4 linked regions of the Drosophila melanogaster genome follow. The protein of the gene in region 4 interacts with the protein of the main gene of each other region in a pairwise test. Each region holds a gene or a part of one and is shown on either strand. Other genes may lie near its edges. The genes, in order: SamDC, Mad1, Lk6 and Spt.

The links.
Region 1: the proteins of Spt (region 4) and SamDC interact in a two-hybrid assay, tested with the Drosophila melanogaster proteins (one large-scale study listed by BioGRID).
Region 2: the proteins of Spt (region 4) and Mad1 interact in a two-hybrid assay, tested with the Drosophila melanogaster proteins (one large-scale study listed by BioGRID).
Region 3: the proteins of Spt (region 4) and Lk6 interact in a two-hybrid assay, tested with the Drosophila melanogaster proteins (one large-scale study listed by BioGRID).

The regions. Positions count from the first base shown.
Region 1 is NT_033779.5:10,337,149-10,342,724, reverse strand, and holds SamDC (S-adenosylmethionine decarboxylase), read right to left. Parts: upstream 3,269-5,576; 5' UTR 3,211-3,268; coding exon 3,107-3,210; intron 2,574-3,106; coding exon 2,487-2,573; intron 2,415-2,486; coding exon 2,246-2,414; intron 2,193-2,245; coding exon 1,914-2,192; intron 1,859-1,913; coding exon 1,766-1,858; intron 1,718-1,765; coding exon 1,562-1,717; intron 1,500-1,561; coding exon 1,344-1,499; 3' UTR 1,222-1,343; downstream 1-1,221. Other genes in the region: CG31715 (uncharacterized protein), read right to left, coding at 350-436, 492-575, 793-903, 960-1,043; GATAd, read right to left, coding at 4,317-4,493, 4,609-4,706, 5,129-5,357, 5,432-5,576.
Region 2 is NT_033778.4:9,288,457-9,294,708, forward strand, and holds Mad1 (mitotic arrest-deficient 1), read right to left. Parts: upstream 3,110-6,252; 5' UTR 3,002-3,109; coding exon 2,881-3,001; intron 2,825-2,880; coding exon 1,770-2,824; intron 1,717-1,769; coding exon 905-1,716; intron 844-904; coding exon 639-843; 3' UTR 501-638; downstream 1-500. Other genes in the region: Cog6 (component of oligomeric golgi complex 6), read left to right, coding at 1-456.
Region 3 is NT_033777.3:11,760,838-11,766,901, forward strand, and holds the start of Lk6 (Lk6 kinase), read right to left. Parts: upstream 3,621-6,064; 5' UTR 2,810-3,620; coding exon 2,647-2,809; intron 1-2,646.
Region 4 is NT_033778.4:8,919,254-8,925,084, forward strand, and holds Spt (spitting image), read right to left. Parts: upstream 3,503-5,831; 5' UTR 3,397-3,502; coding exon 3,316-3,396; intron 3,254-3,315; coding exon 3,086-3,253; intron 3,027-3,085; coding exon 2,700-3,026; intron 2,644-2,699; coding exon 2,319-2,643; intron 2,255-2,318; coding exon 1,532-2,254; intron 1,469-1,531; coding exon 1,367-1,468; intron 1,304-1,366; coding exon 1,254-1,303; 3' UTR 1,017-1,253; downstream 1-1,016. Other genes in the region: CG8248 (uncharacterized protein), read right to left, coding at 97-213, 271-837; CG8243 (uncharacterized protein), read left to right, coding at 3,745-3,862, 4,015-5,450.

The sequences.
Region 1 (5,576 bases), on a different chromosome or scaffold from region 4:
AGCTGAGAATAGAAAATATCGTGTTCTTGGCTAGTGACGGCACTTCAACACTTATCGATATTCCTAGTATTCCAGATAGGAGATTCCATATCAGTTTTTAAGGCAAAGATCAGCTGATATCAGCTGACTTTGATTAAATCAGAAAACTTTTATATTAAATAAAGTGTATATACTCAAAAATAATAAAAAACGCAATATTTTGTTTATATAAAAGTGGAATATTTTTGTATCAATTTTTCCAAAGCATCGAAATAAATAGTTGACATTTTTAAAAGCTATACACGACTGTATTTAAAAGTGTACTTGATACTGAAACATAAGGTTTGTATCCTAAAATGACATGTACATATTATGCAAGGAGTTTCTTAATCTCGTCTTTTTCCGCCGCCTCGAGGTAGCTTTGGCCATCTGGAGTAGAACCATTTTTATCAGCTCCCTGCAATCGAAAACATGTTTATTTGGCGTATATGTAGAAACAAGGAAGCACAAACCATTTTTAGAAGTAATTCCACACAGCTCGTATGTCCTTCCCAAATGGCAGCCAGAATGGGGGTAATACCATGTTTGTCCTTTCTCTTCAATAAATATTAGTTAATTACAATTAAGTTCTATTATTATACGAAGACCGGCATGTCTTAGGTGCACACCTGGTTCATTTGTTTAGCTTGAGACTATGACTAAACAAATGAAGGTGGTGCAGACGTGTATATATGTACACTAATATATGAAACCAGTAACTGACGAAACATTAATGATTCATGGCCGAGTAATTTGGCATTGTGAGCTACTTACATTTATGTCTGCTCCTAAGCTTATAAGAAACTCCAGGACATTCAGTTGTCCAAAATCTGCTGCATAGTGTACTGGAAAACGGCCCTTGATTTCCTCATTCACCTTTTGTGCCTGTATACAAATAGAATTAATTAATTCCAAAATTATTTAGAGTATTAGCAGCGCACATCATTCTGAAAAGCGTCTTGCACAGCATCGAACTCTCCGTTCTTTATGGTCCAAATAATGTCTTCATTAGAAATCGCACTCATTTTTATTTTTCTTTTGGGCCGACTTGTCAAATACTGCTAGGGATGGAACTTTGCCTGTGACACTTGTTCAGATCCGATAATTATTTGCTACATTTGGAATTTGCGAATTATCCAGGGTGTTGGTATATTTTAGTATTTTATATTAACAGTCTATTTAAAAAGTAATTGTACGTTATTTAGTAGTAGTAGTATTTATTATTTTATTTATTCGACATTTATTTTGAATAATTAATAACGAACGAAAAATAAATTTTGTTAGACATACGCAAAACAATCACAATTGCTGTTGGCTTTGGAATTTTATAAATTATCACCAGTTTTCTCACTGTGGGAATATTGTGCAAACAGAAGATTGTAAGATGGAAAGTTGCAACATTGCATGTCGGTTCGTTTCCAGTGCGATCCCTGTGAGTACTCCACTTCCAGTTCCTTCATAGTTTCGTAGGCCAACGAGCACTGATCCACAATATTCGAAAATTATTTTAAATAATTATACAAAAAGTGGAGCAACAGCTTACCTTATTGGCAAAGATGGTTACAATAAACTTTCCCGGCTTGAAAGTATTGATTACTTGATTGATAAGTTTACGATAGTTACTTAGAGCCACATTTGTTTCGAAGCTCACATACGAAAATTGATTCTCCGGAGTAATATGAATTGTCATGTACTCCCCCTATAAAGAATTTATGTCAATAGTTCTTGTAAAATTTTTCTATGTTACCTTATCGTTGATTCCATTCATGGAGTAGCCGCAAGGATCGAACAAAAAGTCATCAATGTGCATAGTCGGCAATATGGTATCGATACCAGATTTCTGAAATCACAATCTATATGTATTGGTTTTAATCATTTAAAATATATCCTCATACCACAGTAGCGCCATTAGCATCATTAAACTTGTTTTTATAGAAGATTGACATGGTTTCGGGATCTAGATCTTGCATTAATATTTCAATAGTTTGATCTGGATCGGAGTCAACGTTTTTCTCATCCGATATAAGTTGGGGCGTAATTTTGATATCAGAACGACTAAAAGTGTAGAGGTACCAACACTCCAGGTTCATGGAGCCCAGACAATAGGATCTTCCGTTGGGAAAAATTGAGTCCAGATACGTAACTTCCTCCGTAAAGCCTTGATGGGGAGTTATCTGAATATATATGATATAAAATCATTTGAAATGCAATTAATTTTTTTGCCCACCTGCGCCTCCGGTCTAGTGAAATTTTTTCGCGAGTAGAACAAGTCTGCGACCACATTGTATCCATTGGCCTCAGCCAGCTTAAGCAACTGACCCAGGCATTTCAATGGAGTAGTCGTTCCACAAGTTTTAAGGATCCATCGTCGCTTTGAAACAAACATACTGCTCTCACTGCTCGCACCGAATACAAATTTAAAATAATTAATAATATTTTATTAAGTTTAGTTTTATATATTCGCATACCTTAACACAAAAGCATCAATAATGTCGTTTTTGGATGTGCTTATTATTTGACAGTTGACATTGCTAAGCACGTTTTCCCAATCAGATCTGAAAAATATCATTTACATTCATTAAAAGTTCAAGGCTATTTGAATAAACATGTACACAATGCCTCGACCAAAATTTATTTTGAGATAATGAGGATTGGATTAATGGGATTGATTAAAACTCGTTATCAAACAAGGCCAAGGGTTAAGACCGATTTTTGAAAGCTTAATTCTAAGTGAATTTACAAAGTTCTACAGGCTGCCAGTTTAAAAAGAAATTCCCTTTAATAACTAATTTCTTGAAATTTCAAATCAAATTTGTATATCTTGAGAATCATAAATAAAAACTTCAATTTAATTTGGGTAGGTACACGTGTGCCGCATCTGATAAGCCTAAAAACCAATGTGTAACCTATTCCAATGGGACTATGTTATGTTTAAAAGATAATTATCAGTGTAGAAATACATTTCATTTCTTTTCAGGACGAAAATGAACGGCGCATATGTACGTATACTTTTGCCCGCAACTGTGCATGCACTTGTGCACAAAGGACATGTCGGCTGTTTGGGTTCCGCACTTGTTGAGGGACTCACCTGCTGATGTTACGCAGATCATCGTCACCGTTGGAGCTCTCCTCAAACCAAATCTCAAGGAGTTTCTCAACGCCCTCGAAGAAGTGCGAACCGTTCTCCAACATGCTGCTGGCTGGCAATAACAAATGGATCTGATCTGATACCAAAACAACGCCTGGTGATGTAAAGTAAACGATGGGACTATCGATGCGAGTGCTTGTTGTACTACATCGATAATTCGGGAGTCTAACAGCATGTTTCCACTTACAGCATTTCTCATTGAACAGTCGGCGGTAAAAATGTAAGTCCCTTTCTATTCGAATTAAGATACTTAAATATCTTTAATATATATTTTTTCAAATTCTCATCATTAGTTTAACAGATTTTTCGGTTGCTTATCCCATACCCCAGGCAAATAGTTAAAAAAAAACAGTAGAATTTGGATTTTCATTTTACATTAACCAGTTTTATTGTGATTGTTAAAAATTGTATAGAGTATTTTATTTGAAAAAATAAATGAGTAATATTTTTTGTATCTTAGCCTATTATGAAGTCCTTATTTTATTTAGACAATTTATGTAGATTCGAAAACAGCATTAAGTTTTTTAGTTTCTTATAATTGTATATAATTTAAATATTTCCTTGAAAAGTTTGCATTGCGTGATTATTGCTTTTTGCATAGTTTTACTATTAAAATGTTTTGTGGAGATTATTATATTATCACATGATTTTCGTATAGGCAAGAGATTTAAAACATTATTATTTTTTAGCTTTAGAAGTTGTTCAATTGCAAAGACAGCTGAAAAATCATTGTTAAAACTGAACTTTTCATTTTAATAGAAGCGATTTGTGTTATTAAAAAATTAAAAATACTGTAAAATGGTTTTAATAAATATAAATATAATAAATTTTATTTTTAATTTAATTGCATTAAGTATTGATGTCCTCTCTTAAGGTCTATATTTAGTGTGATATTATTTAAAAGTTTTGACATACTGGTTCAATTTTCATACCTCTTTTACACTAATAAGTATTTTGGTATTAGTTTTTAAAGATACAAATGAATAAAATTTAGTTTTAAAGAATGAAAATTTTATTAATAATCTATACGTATTTTTAATCCTATACCATTTGTTTTTCTCTCTTACGCGACCTCATAAATAAACAAAATGTGGGTTAAAGGTTCTTCTTTTTTTTTCGAAAAGTGAGTAGGGGGAATATATTTGGCGTTTTATGTTAACTTTGCATTATTTTCACTGGAAACAAGGTTAAGCGGTGCGGATAGATCCGCACTTTCACAGGTATCATTAAACGCCGGCAAAGAATTTGACTTCTTACGCCTTGATAAAATATCTTTAAGTGCTGCTGCGGCTGGGGTCTCGGTATCATCAATTTCCTTTTTGAATTTCTAAAATAAAAACATATTAGAAAATTGAAGTTTAAGTGTATTTAAATCTTATGCAAATAGATCTAGTTGATCAATCTACTTATCAAGACTTTAAAGTAATAGTGCAGATACATACATTTAAAACAAGGCCCGAAATGGCTAGAGATTCCCTAGCCGTCAAGAAATCTTGCTTCGTTGTTTCTATTGAAGAACATGATGACATTTGTTTGTGTTCTGCAAAAGAAAGTGTATATTTATAATTTTCGCAAATAAATCATACAATTAATAATGAAAGGCTCGTAGATATTTATTCAAACTTGAGCAGTTTAACGACTTAACAGGCACGTCCAATGCCATCTACAACAATGACATCATAAAATATGATTGGACAAGCAAGAAAATATTTTGGGTGGGTACGCGGTTAATATTCCGATTGCTAAATCAATAGCTTAATGAACATATTAACAGAAAAATAAATTGTTTTGGCAAGTTACATTTAATTACCAACAATAAAATGGTCAGGGAACATAAAAAAAAAACATTAAGTAAACAAATTGTTTTCATTGTTAGATACTCAAAAAATAAATAAATCTATGGGTCACAGAGGGCTAGCTTTCGAATCGAAAAATGTAGATAAATTTCGAACTCTCACTCACTCTTTTTAGATCGCTCCAATTCTTTAGGACGCCTGCGTCTGGTGTGTATGGTATCGCGTCTCATTGAATGCGGCCTGTTGACCCCATGCAGCTTGAAGTACAATCCGCAGGCGTTGCACACCATCTCTCCTCGAACACTTCGCCGCCAAATTGTTGTGGTGAGGGTGCCACAATTCGAACATGACATATCTTTTTGAGCACCAGGTATGGCATTAAAAAGGTTTATGTTCTACGAAATCGGAATTGAACCAAGAAATAATATAATTAGTATGTGATTCAATGAGGATGACTGTGATAACGTACCCTTTTATCTTTCTTATCATCCGGAGTTGCTTCTGAAGTGGTATAAGTATCAGTCACATTCTCATTAACTACATCGATGCAATCAGTTTTGGTAGGAAAACTTTGTTTTCTTCTACATGGTTTTGATTTGCTGGATTGAGCCTCT
Region 2 (6,252 bases), 370 kb from region 4:
TACCTTTTGAACTGTCTGCATCACATGCAAAGCTCGCTGGCTGTCTACGAATATATGGATGAGCGCGTGGAGCGGCTGCAGGCGCAGTCGGATGCCCAGTTGGACACACTGACCTCCGAGCAGGCATCATCGCTGGTGGCGAACCTCAATCTGGGTCCCATCTACGCCATTCTGCAGAGCAATCAATCTAAAATAGAAACAAACCTGCTGAAGATCTTCATGTCCAAGATGGACGCCTTTCTGGAACTACCCGATGTATTGCTCCTGCCGCAGGTGCAGCTCATAATGTCCAGCAGTCACCGGGCCGCCGTTCAGAAGCGATCCTTCAACGTGATCGTGGCCATCTACAAGCAGATCTACGAACGCGTCCACGATCCGGCCAACGGCTTCGAGCAGCCGGAGCAGCTGCTGCACAGAACGCCGGAGCAGGTGGCTCACATCCTGACCTCCACTTAGTGGATTGGGTATTCCAATTTCTATTGTGCATTACTATAATTTATATGTATTTATATGTGGGGAAGTTTATTGTTAGCGTGGTAAAATAAAAAACCAATCGTATATCTGATGCGGACAAGAATAAGTTTCAATGCCTTCATACTCGGCTAGCTTAAGCTAAGACAGACTAAAGTAATGATGACCTAAGTCATCGTGACAGTGGCCTTTTGGAATAGTTCTAGGGTGAGGGCGGAAAAGAATGCGGGAAAGTTGCTGGCTGCCAGCTGCTGATCAATAGGTGGATTGAATGTGTGCGAATATGGCGACTCCAGTAGCGCCAAACAGTTCGATTCGTTGAGGCTGATGTCCAGATAGTCATCCGGTCCCTCTGCAAACATGCTCGATATGCTGCAAGAGAAATATTAAATGTTAGCAACTAAGATGGAGGATCTATGGAATCGCTACCCACCGATAGTTGCTGTTGGCACCGATTCGATCGATCCTATAGCCTAGCAGCATGTAGCACACATCGCGGAACTCCTCTCGGGCCGCCTTGAAGCAATCCCTCATCTTCCGCATCTTGCCATTGGCGGACTCTAATTCGGCTTGAAGTTGATTGAACTCCTTAAAGTTCAGTGTCATGCCGCCCGTGCTGGTGGTTTCATTGAGCCTTTGCTCGTTATCGTCCTCCAACTTCTTGTTGCGCCGCTTGAGTCGCTCAATCTCCGCCTGCAGCTTCTCCATCATGTTTTTGGTGGACTCATAGGCTTCGGCAGCGGGATTTTCACTAAAGTGTACCACCTTGAAGTCCTTCATGTTGAAGTCGCCCCGCAAGCAGCGGTGCATCATCTCCATCTCCAGTTCCTCCTTGCGCCGACGCAGCCGATCGTTTTCCATCCGCAGCGTATCCAGTTCCTTTTTGACGCTATCGTATCCCTCTCCGGCAGGTTCGTTCACAAGCTCCTGCTGGCGCAAGGATTGAATCTCGCGTTCCAACGTGGCACACATGTCCTTGTATCCGGTTACGGTGCGTTCAAGCACCTCCATTCGGACCCGCACCTGCATGTCCTGCGTCATGTCCGCCACACTGGCATTGCTCAGGGTCGTGTCCTTGTCGAAGTTTTCCACCAGTTGTTTGTAGAAGTCGCGCTCCTTAGACACGGTGATCAGTTTGCGCTGCAGTCGCTCCTTGAAGTTCTTGTGGCGTTTCAGTCCGATATTGAGATCCTCGATGTTCTTCAAGTAAATGGCGCACTTATGCTCTAGATCTCGAATTGTGGTCTATAAAATGGAGTCAGATAAATTGGACTTGGAACACATTGGACAAAACCTACATTCAAATGCTTGGTATCCGAAGCCGATGATGTCTTCTCTGCCACGTGAATGATGTCTTCTTTTAGCAGTTGCTCAATGCGCGAGCGTAGGGCCATTGGGCTGACCAAAGTGTTGGCCAAGCAGTGATCCTGGGCCACCTTGACCCATTCCTTGAGTTCTTGCTCCATGTGAAGCAGTTTCACCTGCAGGGAAGCTGCTTCCGCCCGAGCACCTTCCTCCCGCTCCAGTCGCGTTTTGTAGTCGTAGACCTGCTCCTCCAGAAGCAATTTATCGCCTATCAGAGTGTTTAAATGCTTGTTGTGGCTGCGCAGATGCTCCACCTCAGCTAGCAAATCTGGAACACTGGCCAGGCGCTCTCGTGAGGTTTTGACCACCTCCTTCCAGTCGCTATACGACTGAATTTCGAACTCCAGCTCCTGAATGCGATCGTTGGCCACCTTCAAGCTTTGCGTTTGCTTCTCGTGATTGGCGCGCAGCTGCTCGAATCCGGAAGCCCTGGCCTGTAACTCCTCATTGAGTTGACGTAGGCGCTCCAGTTCGTTGCGCGTAGACTGCAGTTCGAGATCGGCCCGCTGGGCTATGCGGCGATATTCGCTCAGTTCGTTGTTGATGCACAGGTGCACATCGCGGGCATCCTCCTTCTGCAGGTACTTCTCCTTCTGCAACTTGAGCGTGGATTCATCGAACTTAAGCCTAAGTTGGTTCAACTCGGCGGTGGCCCGACTGGCCTCATTCTTCAAGACCAGCTCTCGCTTACGAAGCGCCTTAAGATCGTCCTGCAGCTCCAAATTCTTCTTGCTGGTGATGTCGCACTGATCCTTTAAGGCCGTGCTCTTGTTCTCAGCCAGCAATATGGCCTCTTTGTGTTCCCGGCTCTTCTTTTCGATTTCGTTACGCAGCTGAATTACTATGGCCTTGGTTTCGATCAGCTCGGTCCGTAGTTTGCTGTTCTGCAAAGAAGCCATGGAATCGTTGGCGGGCATATTGAGGGAAGAGGCGGTGTCGTTAAGACTGCGTTCCGGTGATTCCCGTTCCCGACGTCGCTTATTGGGTGCTAGTAGAGGAGTTACTTGTTAGTTTCTACGTTCGCGCCTGTAAATTACAACTTACAAACTCCTAAATCGAAGGAGGCGGAAAGCCGGTTGAAAAGTAGTTTCTTGGGTGCCGAATGGGTAATGCTGTCGTTAAAGCGGTCCATCATATCATCTATGCTGCTACGTATGTCGTCCATTTTAAGTTGTATGTGGGAGACCTTAGTTGACGTTTTCAGTAAAGATATTTACTTTTTATTGCTAAAAGAAGTTGGTAAAATATTAATCTTAGAGTGGCTGCAAATATTTAGACAAGAAATGCCAAATATTGGTCATATTTTATTAGTATTAAAGTGGCCGATAACTTTGGCTTTTGTATCCAAAATTGTCACCAATAATCAAATATACGTATATTAATCTGGGAAATAATATCTTAAAAGGGACAGTTGTCTTAAGCAATTTCTTTATTTGGTGTGTTAATATAAAATCAAGAAAACAAATCAAAAGCTAAGTTGGCAGCCCAGTTTAGTATATTCGAGCGTGACTCTTTTCTGCACCACCCAAAAGTATGTTACACGAAATACTACAGGTAAAAGAAATCGCAATCGATAACGATAGTTCTTCGAGTGTTGCCGAAAATAAAAATTGATTTGCATTTCTTCTCGGCTTAAAATGAATTAAATGTTATTGTTTCCGCACCGAAAAAACTCATAAATCGTTAAAACAACAAATTCCGAAATCGGAATTAATTCGAACAATTGAACAACTGCCAAAAACTAGAACGTATGTGAAGCGTGTGTGTCGTACATACCAAGAGATAAGGACAAAAAACGGTTAAAAGAAAGCTTTCAAGAAAGAGAGTATAGAAAATAAATTTTACTAAAGTAACAAAAAAAAAACAACGAAACGCGTGTGCGTGTGCAACAAAAAAGTGTATGTCAAATAAGAAAATGTGGCTCCAGCGATAACGGTACTCCAATGTGCTCTCTCGCACGCACACAGAAGCATCCCGCACACGTACACCACCACCACTGCCAAAAAGCAAATCCTGCCCAACAGCCGCACCTATAAAAGTGGGCGTGGGTTGACCCAAGTTACTGTAACAAATTTGCAAAAAGTGATGCATGCTAATTGTTTAAACAAATCCCAGCTTTCCTAATCAAATACCTTTGCGAATTCCAATACACACCTATACACACATACCCACGCAGTGATTGGTGTGGAGAGGAAGAAGGAAAGGAAGCCAAAGGACAGGATAGAAAAGCAAGAGGAAGAACGAAACAGCATCGGCGCGTTGGAGAAATGTGCGGGAAGAGAAGATTGAAAATAAACGTGTAGTAGAGAATTTTTGAGACACTCACACGCACACACTCCTCCCACACTCTTTCTCTCTGTCTCTCCGTCTATACCGCTTGCCGCCTACACACACACATACTTAAGTAGACGCACGAGAGTTCTCGTATCGCGAAAAGCGTGTGCTTTGTTGTTGCCTCTCCCACTCCCTCGCTCTAAGAGGCGCTCCCGTGTTGTTTTTGTTGTTATTGCCGCTGAGCAAATGGCAGACCCTCTAAGCGGGTGCCGCTGGTGATAACATGTCGTAATGGCCAGAGAGGTAAGTGCAAACGTGCTAAAAGCAAAGCAAAGCCGGCAACTACGGCTTAACCGTTTTAGTTTTCCCGATCACCACGGTACCGCAAGTTACTTTGCCAAAATCAGCTGTTCTCACTTCATCACCATCCCCCATCATTCACATCTGCAACCAACGGTGTTAGCCTCTCCCAACATTAAAACAGTTAACCCTATGTCATATTTTTCCAAAGAAGTTTAACCCAACACTACAACTTAATAATAAAAATGCTGCGTGTAACAAATAATTATTCTCTGTAGGAATGAATTTTTTAATTAAGCAGTAGAAACAAAATAATCAAAAATAATACTAGGTAATAGATTTTTTTTAATAACATGCAATTTGAACAAAGTAAAATTTATAATATATTTTAATATTTCTTTGACTTGGTCTTTGTAGATATTTTGTTCTTTACGTGGTCAGCTGAACGAAAGATAGGTTCTTTATAGAGCAACACAACAGGATGCATGAATAAATCAACTTCTAGAGAAGATTAGGCAAATTTTTATTTTGCTGCTTGAGTATGGGTGCAATGGATACGATTCATGCCTGGCCTAAACTACAGGCACTCTGCTCCATCTATGTGAATTTTTCATATGACAACCTTTGGCGAGTGTATCTAGCAAGGCGTATCGCTGCGGATGCTCCGCACTCGCGTCCGCATCCGCTAGAGAAACCTATTAAGCCTGTGGCCCGCATTAGTCTCTTTGTGTGCGTGTCCCTCAAGCTCCTGCTCTGCATATGTGTGTGTGTTTGTGCATGTTTTATGCAGTTCCTTCGTTTCGTTTTGCTTTGCGGGTGAGTGAATAGCTTTGACCCAAATAACTGAGGTAATACTTACGCCTCACAGATGTGCCACTCCCCCAACGCCCTCCTTTCCCGCCGCCTCCATCCCACGTGTGGCTGCAACTGTTGTTCTTCTTCCTCTTCTCGCGCCCCCTTTGAAAGGAATTTCGCTCTCTGGCCTTTCCAAAATTGTTGCTTTGAGAGGATGTCTCCAAAAATAAATTAGTTGCGAATTCCCAAAGCGCTGGAATTCCTTTAAGAGCTGATAAAAATGCAGCCGAGATGGCTTTCAGTTGGCAGTTGATCTGGCATTATTTAGGATAAACAAAACAACTTTATCTCTCCTTCTTCTTACTGCAATTAAAAATCTCGGCCAGCAGCAATTACAGGAGTTTTAGTGCTCTGTTATCCATTCACATTTACAGCTGGCAATGCTTTTGCGAGAGGTAGAGAGCTTCATATAAAAGTGCATCACTCTCTCTCTGTCTCACCCTTTTTATTAAAAGACTTCAATGTTTAATGCTAGAGTTTAAATGTCGAGCAAGATCAGGTCTAAAAGAAAGCTAAATATTTTCCTGGGGCACACAATCCAATAGCAACACTATTAATTGAACGCCGTTGATTGGAAGTAAATGTTTACAAAATCAAACTGATGGGATCTTATGAAATGCTGGTAAAGCGTTTCGAGGGAGAAGGTGCGCGCGCTTTGGCGTCCTGATTATATCACATTGATGCAAATGTAGGCCAAAGCACGACGAAATATCTTTACCTGTTAAAACATCGAAAATTATGGAAAAAAAGGTAGTAAATGGGAAATAGTGGGGTGGATAAAACAAATACGGTTTAATTGGGGACCTAAAAACTGAAGGCATTAAATTGACTAGATAGTAGTAACGGGATTTCTACCCCCACTCCTCCACCTGTCCTACTCGCTCTCGCAAAGCTTTGTGCTGCATTTCACCTCGTTCTCACTGCACTTCTCTCGCGCTTATGCCTCGTGCTCATTTCAAGCGCTGTTAACGCGCTGCAAAAACGCAC
Region 3 (6,064 bases), on a different chromosome or scaffold from region 4:
AAAAACAATAACAAAGCGACAAACCGAGAAGCGGTCGAAAGAGAGAGACTAAAGTTTAAGAGAGCGGCACAGGAAGAGACCGGTGCGGGAGAGCGTTACATGATGCAATTAAGTTCTTGTAAAAAGAGAGTACACAGGAAGAAATATGGTTGTGGCATATGATTGATTTTTAACGGTTAGAGCATAGTTTTACAGTGGCACATAAACTAAACGTATTTCACTGAACAGCCTAATGTTTTCATATTTAGCTAATTTGAAGTAAACAAGTTATTTTTCTTTCAGTGCAGAGAGAGCCCTGTTTCATTGTTTTTGTACGTTTTGGAGTGTGAGAGCGCGATGCCCGAGAAAATGTCGTGAAAGACGTGGAGCAGAGGTGCGAGGGAGAGAGACAGACTCCAACACCAATGCCAATGCATACCAATGAAGGTGGTGTGATGTGCGCGAGTTCTGTTTAAAAGCAAACAAGTGGAAAGGGCAAACAGCAAAACAAAAACTACATTTAACTTGCTTTGTTTTCGTTTTGCACAGTAAACAACACATATGCCTCAGCTGACGTTTTTTCCACTGCGGCATTGCCACAGCTAAAAAATAAATTTCTCTCTCAGGGCTTTTGCGCAAACGAGCAAGGGAGACAGAGATATATTGGGCTGATTTCATGAATCGGAGGAGGCTGCACGTAGGCACCACTAGATGTCCTCCTATCGATAGGCCTCGATAGAATGAAAAACTTCTCGATAATTATGGAAAATTATTATGGATCGTTGGGGGGAAAACAAGTTTCCAGCTGGTGGGCTCCAATTGACAGCGTTTTGCACTCAGTTGATTGCAGCTGCAAAATCCACTCCAGCACAACTCCTAATGGGCGCACACATTTTATATGTGTGGGAGGCCAAGCAACGAACGTCACACCAAGTGCAATAAACGTCATGAAGGTTATAATCGTAGTTTGTTCACATTTCGCCGCGTTCGCTGCATTTTGGGCACGAATACGCATTTGAACACGAGTGTCAGTGCATTACGCTCAATCGATCAGCCATCATGAGTCATTTTCCATTTCCATAACTGCCTGCACACGCTCAATTTCAATTTCTCGGTCTCGGCTAGCTGGCACAGATACTAGTGCCGTCTCTCTCACTTCGCCGGCAGCTTTGGTGGTGTTGGTGGAATGGCAGGGAAAAGGAATACCCTTTTGTGCTTGGAATCTAGTATTGCTTAAATTGATAATCATATTATGCGAATTTATACCAGTCAACTGGTCTAATTACAAAGGGTAACTATTGGTGCTGAAATCTACATATGTATGTGTGAATATATTCCTATTGTACAGCAGTTTACCCATATGGATTTCATGATTTTTCAAAGCAGCTCACTTATGCCCGATTTTATAGGATATTAGTGGAATTAGTGGATGTCAGTGGTCCAACCCAACCGTATCTAGCATATTTACACAACAATCTGTCCTGTTTCATAAGATTATCTTTGATAAACACAAAGTATGGACTATAATCACTATCTAAACGAAAACAACAAACTTCTAGTTTAACCTCCAGTTAGAATATGACTAATTAGTGGATTTAGTTGATCTTTGTCATTGTTATTTTATAGCATATATCAAATCCCACATATAATTAAGAACTTGTGTACAATAATAACACCCCCAGTGATGGTTATAAAGTCCAGATGCTGGAATACCCCTAAAATTAGGGCACATACACACTTATATTCAGCTTAATGGCCCCAGTCGAATGATGCAATGGGGTTCTCTTGGCGAAACAAAACAACTGTAAACACCACACAGACTGTGCGGGGTGGGTGAAGGGAAGCGGAGTGGGTGGTGGGGTTGGGCGCCGGCAGGCAGACAGCATGCATGTTCTCGAACATCGTGTGACGTCAAGGAAATACACTGCGGCACCCGGTGCGCAACGTGGCCCAGTCAGTCAATGCTCCCTAGTTCGTTCGATTGATTAGCAAGGGTAAACGAAACGAAAGTGCTGCCTGGCCCAGCTTTGCCGATAACTGACTAGAAATCCACTGAATGAAAGCGTAGGAGCAATGGTCGGGTCTTTTCTCTGATTGGTAGTCAGTCCCCACCCAATGACAAGCAGAATAATACATACATATGGTTAGGAACTTTAGAGGAAGTATAACTTCCGATACAAAATATTACATTAACGTATATCTTTTTTTTACCATTGCATTTTAGCAGAAATATCCTACAAATCGTATTTTATAGGTACAACTTTAAGAAGCAAAGAACGTTTGTCACATTCTCAAAATAATAATTATATGCTTAAATAAGGCTTTTGTTTTCTTTTGGCATGCAAATAACTGTTGCCTACGAAATATACTTTATATTTAGGCAATACAACAATATTACGACAGAGATACAGGTGAATTTCCAATAGGTAGAAGTTCAAATTTATACGAAAGAGCTGCCAAATTCACAGTCAGAGCAAATATTTGCAATTATTTCATCATTCTGTTAACATGTTGTCTAGTTAAAATTAAACTGGTGACACACGAAGCGCAAATATGCGAAATCTCTTCAGAAGGTTTCCAAAATATATCTCATGCATCACAGTTTGCTTCTCAGCTATGGGAATTTAGTGTCAAACTCCCAGAGTTCTAGAAACTCAAATTGCTCACCTGACTGACTCTGGCTGCAGCTGTTGTCCGTGTTGCTGCAGGAAATGCCGCTGCCACTCCGGATGCCGCTGTCCCCAGATCCACGGGGGTGGTTGTTGTTATTGTTGTTGCTTGCTTTCGCAGCAGCGGCAGAAGCAGCTGTCCCGGACTTGGGCTCCACCATGTTGTTGCTGTTGTTGTTACTGTACGGTGCTCCTGGACGCGATTAGAGTGAGACAGGCAGAGTGCTTACAAGCTGGAAAAAGGGTTTACGGTGCAACAAATGAGCAGCAGTTTTTCTCAGTCTCTCGTGCTCTTTCCTCTCTTCTCGTTCAGTTCATTCAAAATCAAAATGGTGGCCGCCTATGGGATTTTTGTGTTTTTAATACAATGCGGCGGTTGATGAAAAAACTGATTCAATTCTGCTGCAGATGCTCCTCTCTCTCTCTCTCTCTATCTATCGCTCTCCGCTGTTTATTTATTCTTGGTTTGGTGGTTGAGTCGTCGTTGGTGTGGCTGCTGTTGTTGTTGTAATCGATGGCTGCTGCTGATTTCTCTCATCACACAGGCGAAAAAAGCTCAAGCAAAAAATGGGGTTTATCTATTTGCACCGCTTTTTTCGGTTATCTGCGATATTTTTTGTTTTTTTCTTCGGGTATTGCGATTTTTGCGTTTCACCTCTTCTTTGTGGGCTTGGTGCAGTAGTGCTGTTGCTGTGGTTGTTGCTCTTGTAGTTGTTGGTGAGATGGTTGTTGTAGTGATGGAGGCGTTAATTTAGTTCTATTTTATTTTCCGGAGCTGCTGGAGATGGCTGGTGTGGCGGTGGAGTTGGTCGTTAAAATTTCCTCTGCTGATTACAACACAAAAAAAATCGCTGAATAGCGGACAAAAGCCGTTTTCTTTGCGTATTTCGCTTTAAGTTTCCTTCCCAGCTACCGATCCATTTTCAAAGTTCGAATGATTCCGACGAATGACGACGAATTCATCCGTGTGGCCGGAGGTACCATTTTGGTAGGACCGTTTTTCGGGCCAACGAAAATACCACAAGACGGCAGCGACACTAGGGTTTTTTGCTTCAAATGTAGTATGGCTACGCAACTCACATATGGTTGAGAACTTCGCTGTTTATTTGGTGGTTAAACTAGCTAAATACAATAAGAGTGGCAACGCCGTCACGTTTTCTACATGTATTTTACTTGGCGTAGTGCGCCAAGCTTATAAACCACAGTTGGGCGGTTCTTTTGAATTGTTTAATTTACACCCCACTATGAAACTTATTAGCCTTCTTTATTTATTTTATATTTTATTTTTGGGAAGAATACGTTTACTCAAGGTTCGCAGCTTGTCAATCAGTATTCGCAAATATCAATAATAAAAGGCATCAATTTTCCAATCAGCAGTTGAAAAGAACTCCCCTCGACATTTGAACAAAATGCATTTTTGGGTGATTATAATTTATTAGAATTTTTATTGACTTAAGGTAAATATAAATAAAATATTATTCAAGTACAAAGTTATATATACTCATTAATATTATTTGATTCAAGTAAATATATTTCAAAGTGGCGGTGTTTTATTATATCATTTTTCAATTAAGTACAATTTACTGTTCCTGCTCTATTTCTATGGGTTCGCAGAGAGTCCAAAAGTACTCTTAACACTCGGTCCTGTAAGGTGTGTATAATTTTCGGGCAGGCCATTTTCGGATTTGGCCCGACCGGAAAATATTGCGAGCCATTGACGACGCACCTGCAAGTTTTAAACCTGGCTTATTGACTCGTGATTTCCTCGTCTTTGAGACCCGGGGATCGAGTACTTGTGGGTACTTTGCGAACCCGGACTTCAAACCTTGCCCATGCAACAATTGTATCTTTGTGTAGTTTACGTTTAATCAATGAATTTGGATCACAAACAGTAAATACGTCTTTAACGATAATTGCAGTTGAATTAAACATATTAAGATAAGGGTAGTGGGGTGGGGGTACCTTTGTTTTAATTATAAAAATATTATATCTGCATTTTACATGTTTTTGTTTCGCTACTATCGTTTTTGCTCGAAATTACATAAGTCCAGCCTTAAAACAAGTAATTTTCGTCACCAATCGCATTCGCGCACGCTCCATTATCCATAACACTCGGTTTCGTCATCAATTCAATTCAATTCAATTTTGCATTTAAACGCTACGTTGCCTTAACTTCAGTCCTTTCGCAGAAAATCTAACCCTTAAATGTATTTAGCTCTTCGCCCGTCGATCCTTTTTCTTCCCTCCTTCCTTCCTTCACATCCCCCGCATGCTGCAGACACTAAACATAAATTCAATACGTACAGTTTCAAATTGGATGCGCGGCATCGTATCGTCGTTTAATGTAAAAGGTGTAATGCTACGCGCCCTTTTCGTCTGATCCTTGCCCTAAATGCCATCCTAGGGTATTAATCCATCCACCTCTAACTACAATTTAACTTCTCTTTGGCCGCAAACCCCCCGCATTACTTATTTAGCTCCTGTAAATATGAACTGCTTATGTTTCGCTTACGCTCCTTCGATCATTTTTGTGTTTGCTTTTGTTTTTGTGTTTATAATTTATTTAAATGCACTAAAAGTTGCACGGACCGTTTGCCAGCAGCCTGTGAAGTCGATCGTCGTCGGTTCGGCTGTGTTGCGATCTAGATCTATCCTGTAATTGTCGATTTTATACCTTCGATAAGCCAATGAAGTGTGAGAAAATATGTATCTATTTCGTCATTTGTTTGTTCGTTCGTTATGCATTTTAGTTGGTTGATGATGGTTCGTTTTGCGTTTATAAAATGCCAAAATTTGTGCAAATTTCTAAAACATTTTTAGTTTGTTCTTCTCGTATTATTCTAAAATATTTGTAACTTTAAAATGTACTTCCTCATTAGATTAAATTTTTCTTTTCTTTTCTTTTCTTTTGTTTTGTTTCATTTTTCTTTTCTTTTTTCACTTCGTTTAAAATATTGCATTTTTATTTTATGTTTTTCTTTTGGAGGCTTTATCCCTGAGTGATTTAATTTCATTTGTTTGTCATTTATTGCAACTTTTTCTTTATAAACTTATTGTTTTATATTTTCTTATTCGATTTAGTGTGTCAAGAAAAATAGATAGAGAGAGAGAGAGAGAGTGAGTGAGACCGAGAAAATCAATGGCAAAATAAAAACTCCTTGTTTGCTGTGAAGGTTGCTTAATTATTTATATGTTGTTACGTTATTGTTTACCAAATTGTTCTGCCTTACGGGCCAACAAAACGCATTAATAATATGCTACCCTCTGGCGTAGTAACTGTATTGAGATTTGCTTAGTTTCGCTTATTTTTCCATTAACTTTTTGGCTAATACACATCCTCGGTTTACTTGTCTATATGCAATCTGCTGCTGTGTCGTGAGTGCTTCTTCTCTTGTGGGTGTGTAGTTAAAATATTT
Region 4 (5,831 bases):
TACATAGTGGTAGATACATTTAGATTTATAGGATAACAATTCACTTGATCCCTCGTTAACACGGTGTAATAGGCTAGGCACCTGGCCCCCAGCGAGCTAAAACTTTGGCAAAGATTTTGGTGAAATACCTTTTGATGACCGGCGATCCTGCTTGTGGATCTGGGCATAAGATTGCAGCGAGCACCGGCGCAGTCGCTTGTCCCCTTTGTTCTGCTGCCGAAGAAGGATTATTCACGTGGCAATAGGGAATGGAATGCGGGTTATCCTTACCGACTTGTAGTGCTGGTTGATGTCCGAGGCGGCCTTCAGAAGCAGATAGACAAACACAAGGGCGAACAGGTAAATAATGGGCTCCGCTGTGTTACTCTTCTTGCCAACTTCCTTCTTCTTGTGCCCCTCCGGGGACTTTATCAAACGACGAGGTTGCTTGCTGACCCCATTTCCAGTGCCGTTTTTGGTTCTCTTCGTGGGCCTGCCTTGGGATCTTCTTGAAACTGCCTGATTCCGATTGGATTCCTTTCCGAAAACGTCCAACCTCTGGCACGATGCATCTGGAGCGGCGACATCCAATTCGGCGTCGGCCATGGCTTCCGGCTGGGCATGGTGCAGGTCGAAGGCAGCCACGCCCGGCTTAAAATAGTGCCTGTAGTTGCGCTGCATCCCGGCTACCATGAGATACACAGTGCAGAGCACCACGAGGATCCCCAGCGGCACCACATGATGGTTATTTGTATCCGTGTCCCTACTCACGGCACTTGCTTTTCGGTGTTTGGGAGAACAAGGCGGTGGCCCAATCTCTTCGGACAGAGCAAATTTATCGCCGGCCAGAGATTTCATAGCCGAGTGCTTACTGTTTACCAAGCAATTACCGTGTGTATCTGTTGACTGCGAGTCCTGGCTGCCGCTCGTGGTGGAAAATCGATAGGGATTGCCCACACAGCTTCACATGTTGGGTTGAACGAGGGTGTCCAGTGCAATTGAAAGGTCAATCGACCGAGGGAGATGCGCTGACAAGTGTGCTATGTGTCTATATATTTATTGGAACCTATTGCTCTACTTTTACAACAGTCTAAACTGTTTCCGATGCGATACTCTTCGCCACCCGAGGAACATACATGTTTGTGTGTATGCCTGACCTGACCTATGACATTCAGGTGGCGACGTACGTTAAGTTTGAATTGCAAAATCTCTTAAATGGTATGAACTTAAACACTAAACTAAATAAAAAGTTATGTACAAATGGTTGAAATGCTTCAGCATTCAAAGTATCCATTGGACATTCCAGTGAGTTGGTCGAGTATATCTAAAAATATACGAAATTTAATGGAAAAACTTATAAAATAGGAAATGTAATCATTTTAGGTACCTGTGATTTGTAGATCCGTAGACTGATTACTCATGGAGGTGTATAGCTTTCTGCTTTCAGCTATATTCTGCCGCTTGAACATGACAGTCCGTAAACTTTCTCCTGAAAATAGCATTCAAAACATTGGTAACCTTACCAAATTTATCTAAACATCAGCCGACTTACTTCTCAGAACATTTCCATGGGGTTTTGCCTTATCCGATTTAATGTCCAAGGTATTTGTGGGTAGCTTGTTGTCCGTTCGTCTAGTTACTCTATTCCTACGCTCTGTGTCGTAGAGGATACTGCCGCTTCGGGCTGTTTTATAGCCAGTGAAATGGGTTTCGTCTTCATTTACCCCCTTGGTATCATCAGCTAAAAGGGGAGCCAGGGGAATAGGAAGTTCCTCCTCTTGTTTACCAGCTCCCAGGGAGCCGTGCAATTTGCGCAAGATCGTGCGCAAGATCTTGAAGCGCTTGAGGATTCTCTGCGGCTCCACCTGGGATGCGCACATCAAAATAGCCTTGCACTCGCGCAGTACCCGGATGAACTGCTGGTAGTACTCTTCCCCCAATCGGTCCTGCGTTTCGCTTAGACCCTTTCGGTTGACTTCCAGCTGAAAGTGCTCGACTAGCAGCAAAGAGATTTGAACCAAGTCCTCCAATCGCTGCTTATCGAAAAGCTTTTCCGTTGCACTTATCCCTGAGGTCAGTATCTCCAGGCAACAACCAACGAGGGCGCGGCTGTCGATGATCTCCTGAAGCGCTGCCTTGAACTTGGCCACCTCCTCGTTAAAGTGCTGCTCTAGGATGTCCGAGTGCAAATCGGAACCATGGGCCTGCAGTGAAGGTATCAGAGTGGTGTCCAGTGATTCAAAGGAGGCCAGACAGCTGCGCATTATGGTTTTCACTGAAAAGGAATTGGTACTGGAGTTAATTGCGTTTTTTTTTATAATTATATATAATTATTATACTTTTCAAGTTGGGCGCAAAGGAAATGGCAAAAATGCCTATCTGGGTGGCGCGATCTATGTTCACATCAAAGTCCGCTATGAACTCATCGGCCAGATCATCATTATCTGGGCTGTTCCTTAACAGCGCTCTAATTTTGTCTACCGAAAACTTCTCGAAGTCCAGGAAGCATGTGAATACCAAGCGCAAAAGCGCATCGTTGATAAAGTCCTCCAATTGGTAAATTGCCTGTTCCATGGTCATGGCCCGCAGCTTAAGGGTGGACAGGTAGTTGGCACTGAATGACTCCTTGCACTCCTCCTGAAAGGCATTGCACTCCCGGATGACCTAGAGCACAAATGAGGGGAATAAATAAGGGGATACTGCAGAAGATGTACACCCACCTTTTGGCACAAGGCACTGAGAGCCCTCTTGTCCTGAGACAAAGCCACATTGGCGAATCCCAGAGATTGACCCAAGATCAAATCAATGTTGGCGCGCAACTTCTGGCTGAGTGGAAGGACTTCCTTGGGAGTCTTTGGACAGTTGGAGGTATCGGTGTTTTCCTCACTGTGCGAGGTGAACTGCGCCAAACAATCCAATGCGCCATCCACCAGCTTAAGGAACGAGCGCTCCGGAGCTACTGCTTCGGAACTCGATTCTTCGCTGTAAAGATGCATGAGGCGCTTCAGGCACCAGCGAATGCGGTCCAGGAAGTACTGATGACTTACCTGCTTTCAGAGGATTAGACATCATTGTGCAATGCATGGATGAGATCCAAATTACTCACCGAGACTGTGGTGCCGCATTCTAGTTTCATGGTGTTCTCCACTTGGCGAATGCAGATCATAATCTGGCTGAGGCAGAGGCACACCAGCTCCGAGCACTCCGACTGCCCCTGGGAGCAGAAGGAGCTGTGGGCCAAAGTAGCGAATTCCAATAGCACGGCGCACAGGTCCTGAAATTCAAAGCAACAAGTGATTGATGTCCTGGGGCTAGTGGTCCGTTTCCCCCACTTACATTCAGCCAGTTTGCAGCTGCTGCATTGTTCCTGTTCAGTATCAGCAGGCAGGCCTCTAGTTTCGTTCGCAAAATTTCCATTTTTGCCGGCAAATGTGAGTTCAAATGTTCTGTGGGCAGAAGTAAAAGTAAACAACTTTTTTAAAAAGTGGCTTCGGTTCCCTGTGAATGGCAAGATGGCACGGCTTGGCGTTAGTGACAACCAGGGAGGCTAGCTGCCTTCACCGCCACACGGTCCCACTGGACGCATCACTTTTTCGGTAGCAAAAACTTGTAGAAAATTGTCAATTCAATTCGCTGGTAGTTGTATATCCATGTGAAGCAGAGATAAGCTCCGCCAACTCTACCCGTCGCCCACGCCACGTCGCACAGTTGCGCCCCGCCACAAATATCGAAACCAGGCCTCACAGACCGCAAGCATACCCCAAAATGAGCTCCTCGAATGCGGGACAGCGCACGAAGCTAATTCAGGAGAAGTGCCAGACCCTCCTGACGCAGATGCTCCGCGACGAGGACAACAAGTACTGCGTGGACTGCGATGCCAAGGGTATGTTAATGGGGTCCACTTCTCCGCCAAGAGATACGCCTCTTGGTGACGCACATCTGTGTGCGTGCGTGCGTGGATATACACACCACACATGCAGCTGCACTGCGATATGAGCCTATGTGCTGTCACTGAATGCTACCTTTTATCCTTAGGTCCGCGCTGGGCCTCCTGGAACCTGGGCATGTTTCTCTGCATCCGCTGCGCCGGCATCCATCGCAATCTGGGCGTGCACATATCGCGCGTCAAGTCCGTCAACCTGGACACTTGGACGCCAGAGCAGGTGATCTCGCTGCAGCAGATGGGAAACTCGCGGGCTCGCGCCGTCTACGAGGCGCAGCTGCCGGACGGCTTCCGTCGCCCGCAGACGGACACAGCGCTGGAGAATTTCATCCGGGCCAAGTACGAGCACAAGAAGTACCTGGCCCGCGAGTGGGTGCCTCCCTCGCCGCCGAAAGTGGACTGGGCCAAGGAGATCGACGAGGAGCTTGAGCGCCAGAAGCGCAAGAAGAAGAGCACGCAGGCCCAGGCCACTTTGGGCCTGGCTGGAGTGGCCGGTGGCAGCGGCGACAAGCGCCTGTCCGGGTCATCTGCGTCGGCGCTCAAGAACACCCCCCTGCCCGCGCCGCTTCCAAAGCCGAAACCCAACCAGGTCGGCGGCTGCAGCCCAAAGACGACGCAACGCGTCCAGCTGAACAGCAGCGGCGTTAGCAGTGCCGGCGAAAGCGACCTCTTGGGACTGTCCTCGCCCACCAAGCCCATTGTCGCGACCAATGCCAGCCAAGACCTGCAAAACGAAAGTTTCACCAGCTTTCTCAGCGCCGAATCGATTGCCGGCCAGCCGGATAAGCCGATTGGCAGCAACGGCGACGCCGCCAATTTGATGGGCTCGAAGCCGAACTCGCTGGCACAAGAGGAGCAGGACTTCTTCAACCAGGGCTCACTGGGCGCCGGCGGCAACGAGAAGGATCAGTCTGGCAAGATGTCCAAGGACAGCATTCTGGCGCTGTACGGCAGCGCGCCAGCCACCCACAACCCCCAGATGAACTTTGGCGGCTTCACGGGCATGGCCCCAGGCGGCTATATGCACCAGCAGCAGCAACAGCAGATCCCCCACCAGTTTATGACACCGCCGAACTCGGTGAGCATGTATAATTCGCCAGTTATGGCTGCACCGAATGCGTTCAGCAATGCTGCCATCAGCAGTGCCACTGCGATGAGCATGGGCGGCTCCCATGGCTTTACTGGAGCCCAGTTTCCCAGCACCGGGGGCAGTCCCTATGCTGCCGCAGGCCAGGCAGCTGCAACAAATCTTATGCAAACGAACCAGAGCATTCTCAGTGGGATGCCGCTCTTTGGAGCTGTTCCGCAACAGCAGCAGCAACATCAGCAGCAGCTTCAGCAGCAACATCACCCACAGCTTGGCGGCCTCTCCATGAACTTAATGCAGCCCCTGCCCAGTGGGCTGAACATTGGCCAACCGCCACAAGGAGCGGGCGGATTTGCCGCAACGGGGCCCACCACCTCCTCAGTACCGTCAAATCTGAACCAGCAGTTTGGGAATCTTAATATCGGTAATGTGTGGCAATAAATACGCGGTGTATTTATGTAGTTGTATTCCTTTAATTAATTGTAAGACACGAGTGTTCGGTTCGTCTCGGTGTTGCAACATGTGTGTGTGAGACGGCGATGCTTGTTTATATACATTCGATTTATACAACAACTTGCCAATTTAGTTAGTTGTCCTATTCGTGTTCGTAGAAGAATTCATTGTCGAGCAAGCCACTGTATTAAACGATGTTCATGTCCATGTCCATCTCCATGTCCACCAGGAATCGCGTCTGCTCGTCTAAATCTATTCCAATTAAATCATAAAAGGTACATACATACGCGTGTAACACCCAACTACTTAAAATTGAAAATTGAACCACAGAACGTAATGCACTTTCCAATCAAATGTACATGTTATTTT